2 linked regions of the Struthio camelus genome follow. The protein of the gene in region 1 interacts with the protein of each later gene in a pairwise test. Links are inferred from orthologs where the notes say so. Each region holds a gene or a part of one and is shown on either strand. Other genes may lie near its edges.

What was found.
Region 2: the proteins of OPRM1 (region 1) and GJA4 interact in binary tests that used the Homo sapiens proteins (3 or more experiments, as listed by UniProt). The link is inferred for Struthio camelus from reciprocal best matches to the Homo sapiens genes OPRM1 and GJA4.

What each region holds. Positions count from the first base shown.
Region 1 is NC_090944.1:79,749,648-79,760,665, reverse strand, and holds the start of OPRM1 (mu-type opioid receptor), read left to right. Parts: upstream 1-5,858; coding exon 5,859-6,205; intron 6,206-7,910; exon of another isoform or gene 7,911-9,092; intron 9,093-11,018. UniProt on the Homo sapiens protein: Receptor for endogenous opioids such as beta-endorphin and endomorphin. Receptor for natural and synthetic opioids including morphine, heroin, DAMGO, fentanyl, etorphine, buprenorphin and methadone.
Region 2 is NC_090964.1:9,687,178-9,697,821, forward strand, and holds GJA4 (gap junction alpha-4 protein), read left to right. Parts: upstream 1-5,232; 5' UTR 5,233-5,499; exon of another isoform or gene 5,500-5,928; intron 5,929-6,610; 5' UTR 6,611-6,631; coding exon 6,632-7,663; 3' UTR 7,664-8,923; downstream 8,924-10,644. Other genes in the region: GJB3 (gap junction beta-3 protein), read left to right, coding at 807-1,613. UniProt on the Homo sapiens protein: One gap junction consists of a cluster of closely packed pairs of transmembrane channels, the connexons, through which materials of low MW diffuse from one cell to a neighboring cell.

The sequences.
Region 1 (11,018 bases):
GTGCATTAGGCAGAGTGTTGCCAGCAGGTCGAGGGAGGTGATCCTCCCCCTCTCCTCAGCCCTGGTGAGGCCTCACCTCGAGTCCTGTGTCCAATTCTGGGCTCCCCAGTACAAGAGAGACATGGCACTCCTGGAGAGAGTCCAGCGGAGGGCTACCAAGATGATTAGAGGGCTGGAGCTTTCTTCCTCTCCTAGGAAGAAAGACTGCAAGAGCTGGGCCTGTTGAGCCTGGAGAAGAGAAGACTGAGAGGAGATCTCATCAATGTGTGGGTGTCGAGAGGATGAGGCCAGCCTCTTCTCCGTGGTGCCCAGCAACAGGACAAGAGGCAATGGGCAGAAACTGAAACACAGGAAGTTCCATCTGAATCTGAGGAAAAACTTCTCTCCTGTGAGGGTGCCTGAGCCCTGGAACAGGTTGCCCAGAGAGGCTGTGGAGTCTCCTTCCCTGGAGATATTCAAAACCTGCCTGAACACGACCCTGTGCAATGTGCTCTAGAGGACCCTGCTTGAGCAGGGGGGTTGGACTAGATGATCTCCAGAGGTCCCTTCCAACCTAAATGATTCTGTGATTCTGTGACTCTGTGATCTTATCACAGTTCATCACAAACACTAATGAATTTACCTAGTAGCCTTTTAGGAGGTCCAAGTCCACACCCCCAATACACTTCACACTTGTTAGAAAAACACAAAAGCAACCATTCACGACCACTGTGATGAAAAACCTCAAAGATATATTTTATTTTTCACAAGTACAAAAAAGCTCAAAGACCCTGGAATCAAAAGCACTTCTGTTCACTTAATTGATTCAGTATATGTCGCCATGCACTTTACTCTTACCTGCAAAGAGTCACTGTCCCAGCTTACCAAGTAGAAATAGGTGACGAGGGTCACTAAGACAGAAGTCATGCAGATGACCGAGACTGCTTTTTTGATGTGATGGAAGAAAAAGCTGAAAACAGAAACCTCTACTTTCCACAAAGATAACTGACTGGAGACCAACACCCTGGATGAGCTATTAATACATGATTATTATCCATATGCAAGAAAATCAGGCAAGAATTTCAGTATCAAAATTCTTAAAGTCTTCAATTAATTTTAGGGATCGAAACTGTAATGAGCATGTACATACTCCTAGAGCTCCAGAATTCACAGTGGCATTCTAGGACACCCAGCTGCCGCTCTAGAATCTCTTCCTTCAGCAAATCTGTCCCCACCTGGCTAGCACAGAACACAAATTACTCAATAACTCCAAACGTACTGCTGTACATGATGCACACATAAATTTAACGGCAGGACTCAGGATAACCCTTACCCTCCCAAGTCAGCATCTGGTTCCCTCACAACGAAACATCTGTAACAAGGAAGGAAAAGCCCTGCTACATCAAAGCAATGATCTACCTTGCATCTAATATCTTGTCTCTGACACTGACTTGTAGTAGACATCTAAATTGAGCTGGCTTCACATTTAACTCCATGAGCACGTATCCATCTCCTCTTTACTGTAGCACACCACTGTCCTACCCTAGCCCCGCATATCCTGGATATTTCCTCTCACTGCTGCCTCCCTCCTAGCAACCGTGCCATACTCTGGCCTCTGTGTTCCTTCTCGTTAGTCATCACTTAACAATTACTCTTACCTCCTCTTCTGCAGCTAGCTCTCTGGTTTCTGCTGACAAAACTTTCATCATCTCTAAAGAAGAGGAGCTGATTCTTCAAAAGAAGAGCAATGCTAAACATTTTTATAAATCCTGAAAAAAAAGTGGAAAAAAAAGTGCTGAACTCTACAATTCAGATGATGAGTATTTCTCATCATCTGAACTCTGTAGTCTAAGTTATGCATCCAGGTCTCAGGACTGTGTAGCATCATTATATAAAAATCATATTTAAAGTTCCTACAGTTTGAACACCGGAGATTTTAATTATTTTTGGAGAGAAATACATTGTTTGCTTAAAACACTGGACTGAAATTAAGGAGACTGAGAAATGCTAATATCAATTAGCATCACTTTGGGTAAAAGAATAAATGAAGAAACACAACACAGAGAGATTATGACCTGTGTTACATAAAATATCAGACAGTATGACCAGAATGGTCCTTTCTGGCCACTGAAACTATAAATTAATTAAGAACTTTGCCTGAAAATTCTTAAATAACATTTTCAACACAACACTTTCCTTACATTGCACAGTGAGCACCACAGACTAGTCTGACATAGTAAGAAGATATAAGATCTCATTTTCTTATTGCCCAAGACCTTATGAAATTATTTTTTTAACACGGTAGAATTCTACACTCATCTTGTACAGGCGTAAGTTAAGGCCACACGTCGTCTGTTCTAAACGTGCACAAGTCTGCTCTGCCCAAACCCAGCCAAAACAAGAGTCGTGCAGCCTGTTCATATGGTATGTATGACTTAAAGTGCGCATCTTTGCAATACTGCTACCAAAACACTATCACTATATCGCCTTGAGGATGTCCTTCAGGAGAAAAAAGGAGGATCTGTCTTTGATGGGGTTCACAACCAGTTGAGGACTATGGCGGAAAATGGCTGTGGGATTACTGAGATCCCATCCTCCTTGCCCACTCTTGTGTAATGTCTCCCACTCCTTCTGCTCAGGACAGACAGACCTTGCATGGCTTTTGCTCTTGCACTTTGCTTGGAGAAGGAAAACTTCCACCAGCAAGCCTGATGGAGAGCACAGCCTGCTCCCAAACCCCTTCCTTCCCTGCTGCTGGAAGAAATGAGGTGCACCACCATAGGATAGAGATCACCTTTACAGAGTGCCAAGCTGCTACACCCTGTCTCTCAGCTCTGTTTTTTACTTTGGCTTTAAGTGAGGTGCATGGTTTCCATTTAGCTTAGGAATCCCAAAGAGACTGTGGAAGTGAACCTGCTTCACGAAACTCTGGTGTCACTGTGGATATATATAACTGTACCAGAGCAACTTCACCGACCAATACTCCCAGGACAGTCTTTAGGATACTATTTTCACTGTAGAATTTTGTTCAAGTTTTGACTCTTTCTCTGCCCATCCATTTTTAGTTACAGCTAAACAGGAACTTGCCAAGCAAAAATCTGATTTAACATGAAAGCTGTGATTCTGACACCAACCTGATGTTGGAGCTTCCCTTTAAGAAATAAGCAAACGACACCACTGCAGCAAGCATATCTTCACAGTCATATCCATACCAGGGTAAAACTAGAGTTCACTTAATACCCCTGTGTTTAACAGAGGTCTCAGCACAGACTTCAATTTTGCCAGGAGCATACTGGTAATCTCTGGGCTCTCTCATAGGTTTTCAGTCATGTACAGTCTCAAAGCCATGTCTTTCCCTTTTCTGTGTGCACTGTGCTACTACCCACAGGAAGGAAATACAGGTCTACAACTCCATAAGTACTTTTTCAGCAGAGTGTTGACTATCCAGACCTTCATTATCTGAATTTATTTGAAGAAATGGTCTCATGTATTATTATATTGAAAATGTCCTTCACCATCTGAAACCGTTACTGTTAAGATTTATTTCATATTGCCTATGTCCTTGAGAAATAACACTTGTAATAGCTTTGTGATGAGCATTTAACTATGTTTCTTTCCTTTACCTTTGAAATTTTGTCTAATGAGGCCTATCTTAAACAGGCTCAGCTCCCAGGGCTTGCTGCCAATCCTCTTTACAGTTCAAGTTTTCATCTGCATCTGCCAAGAGGTTGATTTAATCAGATGTATTAATTTTTCAGTCTTAAATGTTATAGTCTTGTATATAACACTAGACTAGAACACCCGGGCATCTGTTTTTAAGACTTTTTTAAGATATGCATTTTTAGACAACAGAGGCCCTTCTGACAGCCAGGATGATTGAAATATAATACAAATACGGGCATATGGGCTGTAATATAGGATTCAGACAGGACATCCCAGCAGCCTTGGGTTTTGTTACCCATCTTCTATCCCTCACACAGCCAGGAATAGGTGTACACATCCAAAGATACCACTGTTACAAATTGTGAGGCTTACATGAAAATCTTCTGATGACTTTGGTGGAAGAAAGGGGAAGTGCAGAGAGAGGCTCCTGCACTATGCACATACTCAAAAATACAAGTGTTTGAGAATGGCCCATTAAAGCCTTGTGCCTCCTGCTCTGTGTATGACTATGCTATACTTCATAAGGCGATAAAGAGGCAGTGATTTTGAGCATGTGAAATCTCCGAGTTCTTGCTTTCATTTCCACTCTCTCACAGATTTTTCCAGAGAGAATATAAGTCCTGTTCTAAAGCTCCTCTTTTTTTTTTTTAATATGACGTTAAATGTCTCTCTCATCAAAAGGATGCTCAGAATACTCTCTGTGGCCATGAAGCTATACATGTTATCTACAAAAAGCACCCATTAACAGCTTTAATTGATCTTCCTCCTCTATTCCATTACATCTCTGACAACACCTGACAATATAAGACTTTAAAAAAGGAATAGCCGTTACCCAGATCTATGGCCCTCTCCCACTCCAATGGCATCCTTTTCCCTTTTCCTCGCTTTCCTCCCCATGGCTAATGATCACACTTAGGAAGAGCATGTGGTCTACCTCTACTAGCATTACCTGCTCTAATCGACTTTAGCTGCCATTGCCTGTATCATGGAAGCGCAGGAACAACTCTGACTAAAACGTCTGTCCTTTTGCATCTCTCTGGTATGGTGCAACTCGCCTCCTCTTCTCCATTTTTGCCATTACACTCTTGAAGTAGCTGGAGGTGCTATGCACAGGGCAAGCAGATGCACTAAGCGTGAGTCCGCAATGAAGCAGGAGGAGCAATCACTCCCACTCTGTCACCTTCTTCCCCAGTTGGAGATTTTTTTCTCCCTTACCAAGGATCTCCTTTGATTTCATTGATGAGACAGTAGAAGAGCTTGGTTCTACTAATCAATGAAGAACCTGCAAGCAGTCAAGCAACTGAGCAACAAACTGAGCACAAAAATGTGCCGATGCAAATAAGGAGCGTGCAAGGCGAACATACTGCACAATACATGTCCCCAGCCTTCCAGTTTCGATACTTTTTTTGTGTCTTCCTATCTGATAACAATCACACCAATGTCTATGGGAGAGGATCCTTGGAGCAGTGAAGCACCAGGTCCTCTGAAAATTCTGAGGATTGGTGATATCCAAGTCATTTCTAAAGCACAATTCTGGTCACAATCCCCTCCCAGCGTGGTGCTGTACGGTTCACCACATTTTATTACTAGGCTCAGCGCTCTCTCCTCCAAGCTATATAATCAGAGAGGGCGACGTTTTGTCAAGGCCCCTGACTCGCGATGCTAATAGCTGCACACTGATCGCCTCCCCTCCCCAGCGTGCAGCCCGTTAAGTCATTCTGCCCGGGTGCCGTCTCACTCGGGTTGGCCACCGGTGCTTTCGGGGCTCGGGAAGGGAGCACTGTAAGTGCTGTGCGGGCAGATCTGCCGGAGCGCCCCCGCTCCTCACGGCCCTCCAGAGGCGCCGCAGGAGCGCGCCGGGCTCCGCGCCAGCTGCCGGGGGCGGCGGGGCTCACCTCGGGCAGAGCCGAGCCCGCTCCTGCGGCGCCCTCGGCGGGCCGAGCCGACACCAGCAACGCCGGAGCCGCCCGCGCCGCGCCAGAAAGGGCAGTGGCGGGCGAAGCCCAGCCTCCGGCCCGCCCTCCCCGCGGCGGCCCCGGGCTCCTCCTCCCGGGCCCGCCCGCCGCACACACGTGCCGGCGCCCAGCGGCGGGGCGCGCCGTCGGGGCGGGCGGGCACCGCTGCTGCCGCCGCCGCCGCCGCCTGCCCGGCACCGCCCGCGCCGCCGCCACTCGGGCTCGCCGCGCCGGCCGCGAGGCTGGCGGCCCCGCCGCGCCATGGCCGTCGCCTACCTGCTGGGCAACGGCTCCGCGCCGCTCCTCGCCGGCGCCCTGGAGGCCCCCTTCGCCGCCAACGCCTCGGCCGCCGCCTGCCGCCCCGCCGCGCCGCCCTGCCCGGCCGCGCCGTCGGGCGCCTGGGGCAACGGCTCGGCGGCGGCGGGCTGGGACCGCTCCGAGCCCTGCGGCGGCGGCGGCGGCAACGGCAGCGCGGGCGGCGGCGGGCCCTGCGCGCCCGCGGCGGGCGGCCCCTCCGTGGTCACGGCCATCGCCATCATGGCCCTCTACTCCGTCGTCTGCGTGGTGGGGCTCTTCGGCAACTTCTTGGTCATGTATGTCATCATCCGGTGAGTCGGCTGCAGCGCCCCGGCCCCGCTGCCGTCGGGCGGGCGGGCGCGGAGCTGCCGCGCCCCCCGGGGCCTCTTCGGGGCAGGGGGGACGTGCGCAAGGGGCTGTGCCGGCGGGGCGTTGGGGCTCCTGCCCCGGCGCGGGGGAGGGAGGCTTTTGAGAAAGCTGCGGGGCGAGTGGCCGGGGAGAGCAGCTCTTCAGACGGGGCGGCGGCCGTGACGACCGGCCGGGCAGCGCGGCCCCTCAGCGCCGCTTGGCAGCCGGGGAGGTGCTGCCCCGGCCCCCGGGGGGACGCGGCTGCGGCTGGGAGCGCCGTGAGCGAGCAGCGGCGCGAACGTCACACCTGGCCGCCGAGGCAGGAGGGCGGCAGGAGTGACTGTAGCCACTACCCGTGAGCGTCTGGGTATAGACACTCGCGCACATCCCCGCGTCTTTCCCCTCACCTCTCCCAAACAAGCAAAATGCAGACAGCGTCACGGCTAAGTGCCTCTGTCTTCTGGATTTATAGCTCCCCGGCCTAAGGCGTTGAGATATAAATATATATATGTGTGTGTGTGTGTGTGTCTGTCTGTGTATACATGTGTGTAGACAGATAGATGTATATAAAAGGATCGCGCGCACTATAAGGAAATCAAGCTATCCGGCAGTGCTGCACCATTTCGCAGCTTTCCCGCGCCAGCCGCGGGCGGGGGGCGGCCGCCGCCGCGCAGCGCGCCCAGGTGTTGCCCAGGTCCCTCACATCTGTCTGTGGCTTCCACGCACGAGAAACCCCACAGCGGTAAATCGGGATCCTCTCGCGGAAGGCGAGTGGCGGCGAGATTAAACGGGCTCCTTTACCCGGCCGGGATGGGGGCGGGCCGCTTCGGTGGGGGAACATCGCCACCTCCCGGGGACCCGGCCCGGCACGGGGGCTCACCCAGCGCCTCTTTCCTTCCTGGCTCCTCGTGGTTTCAACATCTGGAGGGACGCGGAGAAGAGCAGCCAGGGAGCCGAGCGGAGCCCAGCGGGGCGCTGCTGGAGGGAGTGCCCTGGGGTGCGCCCATCCCCGCCGGGACAGCCCCAGGCCGCCCAGTTTCCCCAAGTTTTCAAAGCATCCTTCACTTTTTCCCTTCAAACTGTACATTTCCCAAGGAGTCAGGGTAATAGGGAACTCTAAAAACACACTGGGGCTAGCTAGGCTGACATTCACTGCAGTAGGGTAGCAGCCACATAGCCATCAGTCTCGGGTGCCACGGCTGCAGGGACCTCACAGGTGGAAGCTGAGGCTGGTGCCAGACATTGCTCGCAGGCCAGCAGCACCGGGGAGGCTTCAGGGCACGCTCGGCACTGGGAGCACTAGCTAGAGAAAAGAAAAATGCTCAAGGTAGGATGCTGCAGCACAGCAGAGATTGGTTCCTTCAGTGTGTAGCAGCATGTTGGGGAGGTCAAAACCAGCATGGCTTGTAGACCTAATGCGACTAGAGATTACATTACATGCATCAGTGGTTCAAACCGTAGCAATCCACAAACCTAGTGCTTAACTACATTTTAGAGGCTGTATTTTAAATATACAGCACTGGGAAGATCTGTACTGCTGTGTGGTTTTGGTCAGCCTGAGACACAGGCTATTTGCATGTTAAGATACAGCTGTAGAAATGCTTCTGAACAGGGGCATGATTACAATTGTCTGAGCAAGTGTTGTATGCATCCTTCTGCGAGAAAAAGCAGATGCACAATATAACAGAGCCAGGATGGTTGTCGACAGAGAAATATGCCTCAAGTTGTCCCTGGGATTATGTATATATACTGGATATAACCTGTGGTATGCTCATATTTCTTTTATTTATTAACTGAATTACGCTTGCACTGCAAAGTCAAATTGAACAAGGCACCTGCATTTAGATACCTGTTTAAAGAGAGCGTCTTCCCAAAGATTACAATCTAAAAACAAAAGTCAGAAGTAATAGGAGAAAACAAAAATGTGTTTTCATTTTACAGATGAAAGTACAAGAACATTAAATGGCTTCTTGAACACCATCCAGAAATTGTATGGCAAAGACAGACTGAATGCAGGTCTGCTGTGCTTTAACGGCAGGAGCAGCTTTCCATATGACAGAGTTGCTTCCCAATTAATATCATGCAGCTATTTACCAATTTGGAATGAAGAAGAACATACATGTTATGATTGAATAGGATCTGTGGTTTAAGTAACACAAAAATGCATTTCCTTTCTATGCTTCTCTGTAGGTTTAGTCTACCTCCACTACAGTAGGGAACTTTTTTATTTATTTCCTGCTGCAAGGTGTACTAAGATGCCAGTATTCCCAGTCATTCCCAGTTGATATGCATGATGCAAATGATGAGTGCATGTGCTCATATATCCTTGGATCCAGCGGAAGATAGGAGCAAACCTTTCACTGGACTGAATTTGACGTCATATAAAGCTCCTTTTCTTTTTTTTTCTTGCACCACACCTGCTCAGGAAGAGCTAAGTCTTGAAGTTTATGTTAAATTTGAGACAGATTGAGGGTACTAGAAATCAGATTTTAAAAGCAAGGATGGATACCTAATTTACCCTGGAAATGCTAGGAGTTGGGAGGCAGGTGCTTAAAAATCTGAAACACTGTCCCTTACTCACCTCTGTTAATCTAGCCCCAGTGAAAGCAACAGTGACTTCTTACCCAGTGCTGCATGTTGCCATTGCGCCATAATCTCAGCTTCTTTAGAAATATTTTTGGGGGAATAACTATTGCATTATTCCTATAAACAGATAAACTTGAAACTCCATCCAGTCATTTCAGCTTTTCCAGATGAGTCAGATCCATGAGTTTGGAGACAGAATTGTGCAAGTCCTTGTTGGACGTGGAACCCTCGTTTCCGATCCACAATGCTGCCATGTTATCCTTGCTGTAGGAAACAGAAGTCAAAAAGGGGACACGTCCAAAAAGGAGATAGAAATGTAATGTCATTATCTATATGAAAATGTAGATTCCACAAGTCCTTTGCCCCGTTTTCCCTTGGCCAGATTTCCAGTGTAAGGAGCAATGATTTTATATACATATTACTATATAATTAATGCAATCTCAACCACTCTTCTCTTTTTTCCCCAAATGGTGCCTTTCCTCCTTGAAAGAATATTTACAACATGATATATCTGCAATGTATGAAGTTGAACCCCATATTACCAACACTGAGCTGTTTCCTTCAGTGAGAATAAAAATAGTCCTTTAAGTGACAGCAGAAATAGTCAGGTTTTATTGCCATCCATGAACTTCCTACCATCTGAATAATCTGCAGATAATTTTTATTATCAGTTTTCCTCACGTATTTCATATAAATGTTAATTATTAATACAAACATAGTGTTGTTACACCTGTGTCAACAGCAAATGCTACTTCTAGCTGCTGCAGAGTATGACAGCACAGAGTACAATTAGTACCATGTGGTATGAATTAATTTTCACAATAATCTATAGGCTTTTCCTGCTCTCTAGTCAAGTCAATGGGATATTAGTCACAGATTAGAGTGGGACGAAGAGTATGCCCTGTGATTAAGGCAGTTTGCACAATGCTAGAAAGCTATAATAGAATTGTAGCTGAACATCTTCAGCATCGCATGTCTGGAAGAGTGGAATAGCTCTCTAAGGTCCCAGTCCTCCACAATGCTAAGTGCCATGAGATGACCGTAATTCAATCAATAGCCCTTAAAGTCATTCAAGTCAAGATTCATCCCTTAATTGCTTTGCTATTAATTTTGTCACGTATCATAAACAAAGGTGCCTGAGGTACTCTGTGATCCTTCACAAGAGGAAAGAAATGTCTTGTTTCATTGTAGTCAGTCATTACTCTGTTTTTTTTTTTAAAAAGCTTCCTGCTCCGAAACTAAAAGCTGTCTTTTTACATTTCTCAGAACAACCTCTGAATAATGTTTTGAAGGGACAAAGAGCTCTGATGAAAAAACACTCTCATCTGGAAAGATTGTACGATACAATAAAGCTCTGGTTACTTCAGCCCTGTTCTCATGCACCTTAGGAAAAGAGTGTTTTCCTAAGGAGGAGGGAATATGGGATGAAATTGCAATTATAAAAAGGATTGATATCTCAAGAGGAATAAATATTCTCACATATGTGCAAATAAAGGGAAAAGTAAGGGATTTGGAAAGAGGTTACAATATAAGAAGTGGAGAGAATCTATTTAGGGAAATAAACTGAAAAAGATCCAAATATTGAAAAGGGTTTAAGTGAAGGAAGTTTTTCAGAAGCTCTTCTTTACAGGCCGACATGGAGTTGTGGATGCAATGTGAAAGAAGGCCCCCAGCATGCTTTGTAACACCGTCGATCGGGAAATCTAGAGACCAAGAAACGGATAAAATGCATTCCTTTCTTTCCTGTCCACAGCCACATGAACCTCTTTGCATTTGGATGGCATTGCATGTGCTAATGGGTGGCCTGCCTATTCAGCAGGCTGCAAGGAAAAATTTCAGTGTTCTTGATAAGAGCAGTTAACTAAAGCCACAGCAACCTTAACCTCAGCAACCTTAGCCTATAATGCCAATTTTTAATTTATACTGCTTCCCAATACAAGGCAGAGAAGATCTGGGGACAGAACTGGGAGAAAATATGAATGGGCAGGAACAGCAAAGCTAAATTAAATGAACAACGCAGAAAGTGACCCACACTGTCCTGCATTACAGAAAGGCAGGTGTCTCTATTTGCACACCTTTTGTGATAGAAATTTGCTCTGTGTAGTCTCTGCTAGTTGGCAAATGTTTGACTAGCGAGCTGCTCCTTTCCCTCCTCAAAGATCGAGGGAACCAGGCAGACAAAAGACGTCT
Region 2 (10,644 bases), on another chromosome or scaffold:
CTTCGCCTTTGGGCGCAGCAGCCAATTTAAGCTCATTTTACTCATGTGGAAACCAAAGCTCAGGGAGGCCAGGGCCCCGCTGGGCTGGCGATGGGAGAGCAGGCAGGGATCCTGGAGCTCCCCCAGGAAAGGCAGTACTTCCCTGATGGGAAAGGTCCCCATCCATCCCCAAAAGGCACTTCTGCATGGGTCTCTCCAGGCCCCAAAAGGAGGGGGGGGATCTCTGCTCTGGATGGAAATGTGCTGCGGTCACCGTCAGCCCCCTCCCCATGGGCCCGCCAGGACACGGGGCTGTTTTCGCACAAGCCCTTGCTTTGCTGAAGTATTAACCTTCCCACATAGCTGGCCCCATCTGACTCTCAGGGCACGGCCTCTTCTTGTTTATCCTGGCCCATTGCAGGGGATTCGCTGCCAATTTATATCAACCTACGCAATCAGACCTGGATTGAGGTTGGCAGGAACTCCTCCTGGTTCCTTATCACTTACCAAAAAGCCTCTATGAGAAGGAAGAGCAAAGCGGTTGAGTCACTCCTAAATGTCAATGTGAGTCAGCACAGGACCCAGCAGTGCCACCATTCAGCCCACATTTTATTGTACGTGCACGGGATGGGTCCTCCTCCACCCAAAGGAGTGCAGAGTGGGGCAAGAGAGTTAGGGAGGTTAAGGAGCCTGAGAGAGCCCTGACCCTGCTGAAATGCAGGGAGAGATGAACTGGCCAGTTATTTCCCACTGCATCTCTTCACCTTCTGTTTCTCTTGCTCTTCATCCAGGTTGGATGACTCTGGCCCCTGCCAGCGCCGCCCACCATGGATTGGAAAACGCTGCAGGCACTGCTCAGCGGGGTCAACAAGTACTCCACGGCCTTTGGCCGCATCTGGCTCTCAGTGGTCTTTGTCTTCCGCGTGCTGGTCTATGTGGTGGCAGCCGAGCGCGTGTGGGGGGATGAGCAGAAGGACTTTGACTGCAACACACGCCAGCCAGGATGCACCAATGTCTGCTACGACCACTTCTTTCCCATCTCCCACATACGCCTCTGGGCCCTGCAACTCATCTTTGTCACTTGTCCTTCCCTCCTGGTCATCATGCACGTGGCCTACCGAGAAGACCGTGAGAAGAAGAACCGTGAGAAGAACGGGGAGAATTGCCCCAAGCTCTACAGCAACACAGGCAAGAAGCACGGCGGGCTGTGGTGGACCTACCTGCTCAGCCTCTTCTTCAAGCTTATCATAGAGATACTGTTCCTCTACCTCCTCCACAAGATGTGGGACAGCTTCGACCTGCCACGGCTCGTCAAGTGCGCCAATGTGGACCCTTGCCCCAACACTGTAGACTGCTACATCGCTCGGCCGACCGAGAAGAGGGTCTTCACCTATTTCATGGTCGGGGCCTCCTCCATCTGCATTGTCCTCACTGTCTGTGAGATCTTCTACCTCATCTTCAAGCGGGTTGTACGGACTGCGCGGAAATGGAAGAAGTCCACCAAGCGCTCTGTCAGCTACAGCAAGGCCTCCACCTGCCGATGCCACCTCAAGCTGGAGGAGAAGGAAAACAAGTCCCAGAATAGGTCTGTGGCAGCCCTGAGGGCCTCGGCTCCCAACTTGACTTTGATCTGACAGGGTTGTGGAAGGGGGAGGGGGAGGGAAAAATGCCCTGGCAAGTGCCAGGGACAGTGACCCCATCTGCAATGCCACCACCAGACTCTTCAGCCGGGACCTTGATGGCTATAAAGGGGAGGGAGAGCACATCCACGGGAACTCTCCTACTTGGTGCTACCAACCGAATGTACCTCGTGGGGATACCTCTGCCCAGGCTTGTTAGGGCGACAAGGGAGGGACAGGGTCCTCGCAGGGAGGTTGTGTGTGACAGCCCCTCTTTGTGTGCGTGCTACAGGAGTTTGCAGCCAAAGAGCATCTCTGAATCCAGGAGCTCGTGCTCTTCATTTTGCTGCAAGCTGCCACGCCACAGCAAGCAGTCCCGTAGCTGGGTGCGTCTCTCCTCTGCGCTCGGAGAGCTCGGAGAGGAGGGGGGAGAACCGTGGGTGCCCTTATGCCATGGGAGAAATGACGGATGTGAACTTGCTGGAGAGACTACAACCTCCACAGTCTCTGTTAGGTGCTGTTTGTCCCTGCTCCCTTTTTGCAGCACATAATTCAGGGCCAGTAACCTCACGGGCTCTGCTGGAGACAGGATGCACAGTCGTATGGGGACCGAGCAAGGGGCTCCTGGTCCCTCCGCCCAACCAGGACCTTCCCAAAGAGCTGAGAGTCGAGGTCTAGGCTTTCTGTGGAATAACGCTGCAGGGACGACGGGACGGTGGGCACGTCCTCGGGTGTGCCGCTAGCGAGGGCCCGCTCGGCGCGGGCAGCAGCGTGCCTGAGGGTGTCTGTTCTTTCCACAGAGGAGAGGAGATGTGATCTCCCACCCGGCCCGGCCCGGCCCGACTCAGAGACCCTGCCCCTTGACCCATGAGCTGCGAAGTGCCCGAGCCATTCGACCCGTACCAGAATTGACTAAGCCCAACAAACTAAAGGCCCCTGAGAAAGGGCAGAGGGGCATCCGAGCGGACGCAGGTAAGGCCTGCGATCACCACTGGCCACTGCCACGGTGCAGCACGCTTTAGGGACCACGTCGATGCCCAGATGCTGTGCCTGAATGCCAGCTCCTCGGTCAGAGCCCTCGTCCTGCTGCAGGCAGAGGTGGAGCTGCTGCGGGTCCTTCGTGCTGCCAGAGCGGTGCTGCAAGATGTCAGCGAACCCAGAGCAATCACCGATGAGGGTCGCTGCAAACTGCCCATTTGGGGCGATTTGCCAGTCCTGGGGCAGAAGCAGGTTTCCCCTCTTTGCTCATGCAAGCGCCACGCTGATGTCCCCCTGCTGCAGGCTCCTCTGCTTCCCTCCGAACCGGGGTCTTTGCATCCCTTCCTCGCCTCGGATGGATGTTTCAGCAATGTCATTAGCTATGTAAACCAAAAGGCCAATAAATGTTATGTTGTTTGTAGATGCTGAGATCTGCTCTGTGTGCTGTGAGTCCAGGGAGGGGAACGGCGAGGGCACATGGAGCAGGGAGAAGGGAAATGGCTAGGCAGGAAGAAATGAATTTGCTGAGGTTTCCCGGGAGTCTGTAGCAGCCAGGAAGGTGGCCAGGTCCCGAGCGCTCCCGTCCCAACTGGGGCTGGTGCAGGTGAAGCTCTCCCTGAATCCAGCCTGCTGGGTGCCTGCCTCCGGCGCGGCGTTCTCCCGGCTCGTCACGCACCGTTGAGCTTTAATTCACTGCAACCGCGTGCTGGCCCCTGAGGAAATCAAAGAGGGATCAGCATCAATTATTTACTAAACCTTGATAAATATTACAATAAATAGCAATGATTTCCATTTAATCTCTCCTTAAACAGCTCAATGCAAAGGGTCTGCTGGCGCTCTGGTCAGCCGGGGTTTCCAGCTCCCGCCTGGCCGTGCTTCCCCACTCCGCGGCAGCACCCTGCCCGCGGGCCAGGCGCGAAGACGTCGGGCACCCGCACAGGCACCCGCGCACTGGGCACGGCCTCTCGGCGGGTAAAGCAAGGTGGAAGCAGGAGCATCAGCAGGCGAGGGCTGCTCCGTTTGCTCCTTGGCTATGGAGCAATGCCTCGGCTGTCAACTGCAGGCGGTCGGGAGCGGGAAGTGGTTCGCCGTGGGAAACGTGCTCCCGCCTCTGCGGCACCCTGGTATTTTGGATAGAGCAGCACATAGGGTGCAATTATTTTATATTAAATATAATGGTGCTTTTCCTGCTCCACCCACTGCTCAGCCCCAGCACTGTCTTGGAGGAGGAAATGCCACATCTTGGTGTTGGAGAACCAGTGGCTTCCTGCCATGCGCGTGGACTGGCCCACTTTCTTCCCTGCTTGCCCAACCCCAAATCCTGGCTGTGCCAAGCGCAGCGGGACAGTGAGGGTGGATGCACGTGGGGCTCTTTGCCCTGCTTCAGCCTGTGCATAAAATATCAGCATCCACCCGAACTGCCTTCCTGAAGCAGGGCCGCTGCTGCCAAGCCTCGCTCAGGTCCCCGTGCTCAGTGCCTTTGCACACACCCGCCCCAAACCCTGCAGCGCCTGGGACGGGACAGCAGCCATCCATTTCCCCCACAGCAGAGCTGAGCCTAAAGTTGGACAGTGTGTTACAGCCCGTGCATGCTTAATTAAGCTCATCTCATCAGCTCAGTGTGTCAGGCTTGGGGCTGTGTTTTCGAGGCCTCCCGGGGCAGCCCTGCACCGGGGCTCGGGGCTGCAGCGTGGCTCCAGCACCACCCAGTGCCCGGTGCACCGCACGCCACCGCGCCGACAGCACGGCACCAGGAAAGCGAGTCCGGCGGCCCGGACACCGGCAGGCCCCAACCATGCCGGGCACAGAGCATCCTCTGCTGCGTCGGGCCAGCTGCCCGGGGGCTGCGACCGAGCTCGGCTGGTACCTCCCGCACGTCCCACGTGATGCTGACACTTAAACCCTGCAACTTTTGGGGCTCCCAGCTGGGGCAACTTGCTGGCAGTCCCATCCCAGCTGCAGCACATCTGGGCACCCTGGGAACAGGACCCCTCGCTGCTGTGCCGGTTTAGCCTGGTGGGAGAGCCTCAGCTGGCGGAAGAGAGCGCGAGGAGGCTCTTCCCCCTCCCCAGAGGACGGCTGCTGGCACGGGCCGCACCGCGAGCCGCGCTCTGCCTGCAGCTCGCAGGGCTCCAAGGCACGAGCCAGCAGGGAAATCCAGGGAAATCCAGCTGCTGGCCACATGTCCCTGGGCCATTCGCCCTGTCCCGGTGCCTGGAGCAGGGCTGGGGCTGCATCCGCCTTGGGCATGGCTCGTGGCCACTGGCGCGCCGGGATGCGGGGCTCAGCCCCCGCGACGCTGGCAGGCCACAGCCCCTTGCTGAGACGCTGTCCCCGATGCGGCCACAGATCCTTCGTCCCCCTGTGCCGGGGCCGCCGGGACAGCGCGACGTCGCCACTGGGCAGCACACTGCCACCCGTCCGCCCGCCCGGCTCGGTCCATCCCGCAGCCCTGCCCTGTGATGGTTTTGGCTCCCAGGGGCCTCCCATCTGGGCTGATTATTATTATTTCAGTCCCGACTAACTTGTTTTCTTCCGCTTTCTATTTCCAGGCTGCGCTGGCCCCATCCGTCACTCGCTGTCAGACATGGGGGGGGATCCCGGCCGGGCGGCTCTCTCCGGACCCGCCACCCCTTTCCCCTCCCTGCACGGCGCCGGGGGGGGGCCGGGCTTCCCGAAAGGCCAGAGGGAAAGCGAGGAGGCCCCTGGGCCCAGCTCCCCGCACACCTGCAGCTCGGCTGTTGCTTTAAGCCCTGGTCCCTGGGTTTCCTGCCTGCGCTCCTCCTCCGCGGGCTCCCCTGGGTCCCCTCCGTGGCCAGAGCCTCCCAGGCCCCGGCTGCTCACATCCTGCGCAGCACCAGACGCAGGCTGGACGTGCCCGGCACCGGGCGCTCGCTCCGCAGCGCCCGCCCGTGCTGCAGAGGTGAGTGAGCGGCGCCGGGCACCGGCCGCGGCACCCTGGGCACCCAGCTGCTGGCAGCGGGCCGGACGGAGACGCGGGTGCTCCTGCGCCCTCCCCAGTGGCATCTGTCCTGGTGCCGGGTACTTGTTGCGGTGGGCGCCTGCTTTCTGCTTCGGGACGTGGGGTCACCCTTCACCACTTGCTCCGACTTTCTGCTTTGGGCACTTGCCTCATCCCTCCGCTGCTGGATGTCCCTTTAACAAGCCAGCTGGCACCTCTGGTTGCTTAATTGGCAGGGGTTAATTAGGAGTCAGGGCTGTGCCTGCTTCCTCTCTCCCAGCTGGCTTGCAGGGCTTGCACTCGCAGGGGGAGATGCAGGAAAGGCTCGGCGGCAGGCAGGGGTGACGCCGAGGGGTGCCGGGAGCCGCGCGCTGTGCTGGTCCCTCCGCGGTGAGTGGGGCTGGTGGACACAGGGGCCACGCAGCCGGCGTGACGGGGGCACTCCAGGCTGCTCCCGGGCTGGCTGCTGCCCCTGTGCCGCTGGACGGGAGCTGGGGCTGCCCTAGCCGAGGTCGGGGTGGCTGATGGGTCCCAAGGGTTGGTGCTTTTTGGGCTCCCTCTCCCCACGACCCTGCTGCTCTCTGCCCCTGGTGGAGCTGCTGCAAAGGGCTGGTGGTGAAGTAGGTTTGAGCTGCTCCTGCACCCAAGGGCTGCCCCAAACTAGCTACGTGCCATAATGGCTGGCCAGCAAGCCCCTCGCTGGGGGCCGTGCCCTGGGACGGCTACGAGCCGCGGGTGCTGCTGGCTAGGTGCTGCTGCTGGGTGGTGGCTCCCTGGGTGCCTGAGGCCTGGGCTGTGAGCGGGACTGTCCTGCGGGCTGTCGCTGCAGACGCCCCTCACCCTGTGCTGTGGGAGGGAGCCCAGAAGGGTGGTCCCCCCACACTGGGGACTCCTGCTTGCCAAGTGTGTGCCACCTGGGATGCTCCTCAGTGGGTTCACTCTGGGCTGGGACACTCTTTGAGCAGCTGTGTCCCAAGAAAGTTTGCAGGTTAGCCAGCCCCATCTGCCCTGTGCCCCTTGGCAGGGAAACAGAGGACTAACTTCTCTCATTTCCACTCTTCCCTGCTGCCAGAGACGTGAAGCTCCCTAGAAGATGGGTGACTGGGGTTTCCTGGAGAAACTGCTGGACCAAGTCCAGGAGCACTCCACCGTGATCGGGAAGATCTGGCTGACGGTGCTCTTCATCTTCCGCATCCTCATCCTCGGCTTGGCCGGGGAGTCCGTGTGGGGGGACGAGCAGTCGGATTTTGTGTGCAACACCAAGCAGCCGGGCTGCACCAACGTCTGCTATGACAAAGCCTTCCCCATCTCCCACATCCGCTACTGGGTGCTCCAGTTCCTTTTTGTCAGCACTCCCACTTTGATTTACCTCGGCCACGTTGTCTATCTCTCCCGGCAGGAGGAGAAACTGAAGCAGCAGGAAAGTGAGCTTCGGGCCATCCATAGCAAGGACCCCAAGATAGAGCAGGCCCTGGCAGTGGTGGAGAAGAAGATGTCCAAGATCTATGTGACAGAGGATGGGCGGCTCAAGATCCGAGGAGCCCTGATGTGGACGTACATCATTAGTGTGATCTGCAAGAGCATCTTTGAGGCTGGCTTCCTCATTGGCCAGTGGTACCTCTATGGCTTTTCCATGTTGCCCCGTTATGTGTGCAAGAGGGACCCCTGCCCTCATCAGGTGGATTGCTTCATCTCCCGCCCCACTGAGAAGAGCATCTTCATCATCTTCATGCTGGTGATGGGCCTGATCTCCTTAATCCTGAACCTCCTGGAGCTCTTCCACCTCTGCTGCAAGAACCTGCTTAGCAACATCAAGAAAGTGTCGGTGCCGACCAGCCCAGGCCAGGACACCTTCGCTGACAATGTGGTCTCTGGCCCCTACCCACCCAAGCACTACCCCTTCCTCCCCATGGGCGAGAGCCATACGCCGCCCTACCAGGCCTACAACAAGCTCTCCAGTGAGCAGAACTGGGCCAACTTCAACAACGAGGAGAACCTGGCCATGAGCAGCGGCAGCAGGCCCCTATCAGACCCCTACGCCGTGAGGGCTGCTGAAGCCCTGGCTCCCGATGAGAAGCAGTGCAGCCGCCCCAGCAGCTCGGCCTCTAAAAAGCAGTATGTCTAGCGCCGGGTGCCGGCGGCGGCGGGCGAGGGGGACCTTTCTCCATCCCTCCCACTCGCAAAGGTGCCAGCCGCGGCGACGCTGCCTGCCCTGTGCCGGGGCGCCGTGCTGCTGGGGGGCACGGCGTGGGCACCGACGGGGCTGCGCCCCACGAGGACGTACCGCGGCGCTGCCGGCAGAGCCTCTTGGGGCAGCCGCCCGCTCCTCCGGCAGAGCGAGACGCTTTGGGACCTGATCCTTCACGAACTCGGCTGAGCGCCTCTGGTCCCCGGAGGGCAGAGTCTTTTTTCTCTTCTTTTTTTTCTATATATACTGTAAACAAGGAAACCACAGAGAAGCTTTTGCGGGCTGTGTCGGAGGCTCCTCTGGGAGGACGAGCTCTGGGAAGTGGTTTGCCTCTGGCCTCCGCAGCCCCACGGAGCTGGTCCAGCCTCGAGAGCCGGACGGCTGCGGGGCCGGGCTGCCTGTGGCTGGGGGGAGCACTGTGTAGCGGGTCCTGGTCACCAGCCGTACCCTATTTCTGTGACCCCTGGCAGCAAGTTAATGCCATTGTGGCCAGCATGGTGTTTGTGGCAGGGATGCCCTGCTGCCAGCAATGAGGAGAGGGTCAGCTGTGGTGCTGGCTCCATGTTGGGGAAACTGAGGCAGCCGGAGCCAGGTCAGCCCTGGCGACCCCGATCTCTGCAGGGCTGCCGGCTCCACGGCCCTGGGAGTGTGAGCCCCCCCGCGTCCTGTCCCTGCGCCCTTTCCCATGCAATGTGTGTCTCTAAGTTATTTTTAACCTGCTGGCCTGACTATGAAGTTTTTCTGCCTTAAAGGTGCAGTCATGCGACGGGCATCGGGGCCCTGGGTAAGGCAGAGGGCTGTGCCCAGCCACGGCCCAGGCCCCCAGCCCCTTGAGCCCTGCTGTTTTGGGGGAGGAATTAGCCTAGCAATTGCTGGTTCGAGGGGGTTATGGTTTTTATTACTTTGCACAAGTCGTCTCCTGCTGTGGGGCAAGGCGCTGGCCGGGGCGGCAAGAACCGGCAGCCGCTGTGAGCGGTTGCCCCGACTTCCCCGGTCCCCGAAGCTGTGATCGGGGAAGGGCCAGCGGGGCCCTGCAGCAGCCGGGTGCTGCGGGAACCTGCTCCGCGTGTTTCCCGCGGGCCCTGCGAAGCCTGGCGAGGCCAGTGCGGGATGGGGGCGTTGCTCCCCAGCGCTGTTTTGTATTCCCACCAACAGATACAGAATGTTACATCTTGCTAAATAAAACCGAATGAAGTAAAAGGATGATTTGTGGTGCATGGTGGGGAGGGTCGGGCACGGGCCCCGGGAGCGGGAAGCCGGGGGCTGCGGCCCGCTCTGGCGGGAGCGGAAAGCACGAGCATCGCGGCACTAACGCCCTCCCCGCGGCCCAGCCTGCAGCACCGGGTGGCTCGGCCCGGGCTCCCGGCCGCCGCCGGGGCCTCTCGCCCCCCGCCCCGGCTCCCCTGCAGATAAACCCCGCGGAGGCCACGGAGCTGCTCGCTGCTGCATAATAGGTGGAAATGAGCTGCAGATAAAGACACACAATGTGGGTTCGGGCTGTTGTTTAGTTTCTCTGGCCAAATGAGCCCGGGGCAGAGCCTGCGCTCTCTGCCCAGGGCCTCTTCAACGAGGGTGTGACATACTAAAAATACCTCCACGTAGACGAAACGTGGGTGATAGGGTGCAGAACTGCTGCCGTCGCCCGCAGGCGGAAACGGCGAGGGAGGCACCCGGGTGCGGGCAGAGCCCCGGGCGGGCGGCGGGCACGGCTGCCCGGCGCGGGGGCAGGAGGGCGAAGGGGAAGACCCGTCTCCGGGCTTACCCCGCTGCCCCCCGGCACCCCCCTGCCTCTCCCACAGGGGCTGCGCAGGGTGCTGCAGCGGGGCCGGCGCCCGGGCAGAGCTGCGAGCGCAGCAGCGCCGCGGCGGCCTGCGGAGGGGAGCCCTGCGCGGCCGGGAGGAAATGCCAGTGCGAAAGGTAACGGTGCAGCCGCCCGCAGCGTGTTTACCCATCGGGCAGCACTTTGTTTGCTCTCCTCTCCTGCCCTGGGCTGATATTTTTGTTGGCGCCGGGGGAGCATCACGCTTTTCCGAACGGCCCTGCAAGGTGGAAAACAAGACGGCCGAGAGCCCCCCCCCTCTGCCCGGAGGCCGCGGCCAGCCGGGGCCGCGCGGGGCTGCGATAACGCGGCTCCGCACACGGCTATTGTTCCCGTGTTGTGACAAGGCGGCTCGGGGCGCCCGGCGTGACCCCCGCGCCGCCGGGGCTCGCGCAGCTGGGACCTGCCGCCGCCGCGCGCCAACAACAACAGCGCGGCCCTCATCTGCGCCGCGGGAGCTTCCCGGGGTCGCGGGGAGCGGAGGCGGCCGCCGAGCTGCTGGCACGAGCCCCCCCCGACGCAGGGTGTGCGGCCCTTAGGCAAATAAAAGTTTGGGGCTGATAAGGCTGCTGGCTGGCCCGGCGCTGCTGGCGAAGCCTTTCTGCGCCGCCGGGGGGGCAGCGGCCGGGCAGGCACGCACGGCCTTTCTCACACCTCCGGCGTCAACCGGCTCCTCCGCTCGCTTTCTGGGACTCGGGCAGCAACCCCCCAACAACCCGCCACCCCCCCGCCCCGCAGTGCCTCAGTTTCCCTAAGGGCAAAGCCGTAGCCCCGCGGTGCCCCATGCCTTCGGTGCAGCTTTCCTAGGCTCCGAGAGCCCCAGGGGGTTTATCCCCGGGGCAGGCGGGTATTTTCCCGGGAGGGGGGGGAAGCCTGCACCCCGGCACTGCCGCCAGCGAGCCAGCCGGGCTCTTTCTGCACCGACGGCGCCTGGGCTACAGCGAGCGCCTGGGAGGAGAATCACAGCATCACAGAAGGGTTGAGGCTGGAAGGGACCTCTGGAGATCATCTAGTCCAACCTGCCTGCTCAAGCAGGGTCCTCTAGAGCATGTTTCCCAGGATCACATCCAGACGGGGTCGAATCAGAGGGAGCAAAAGA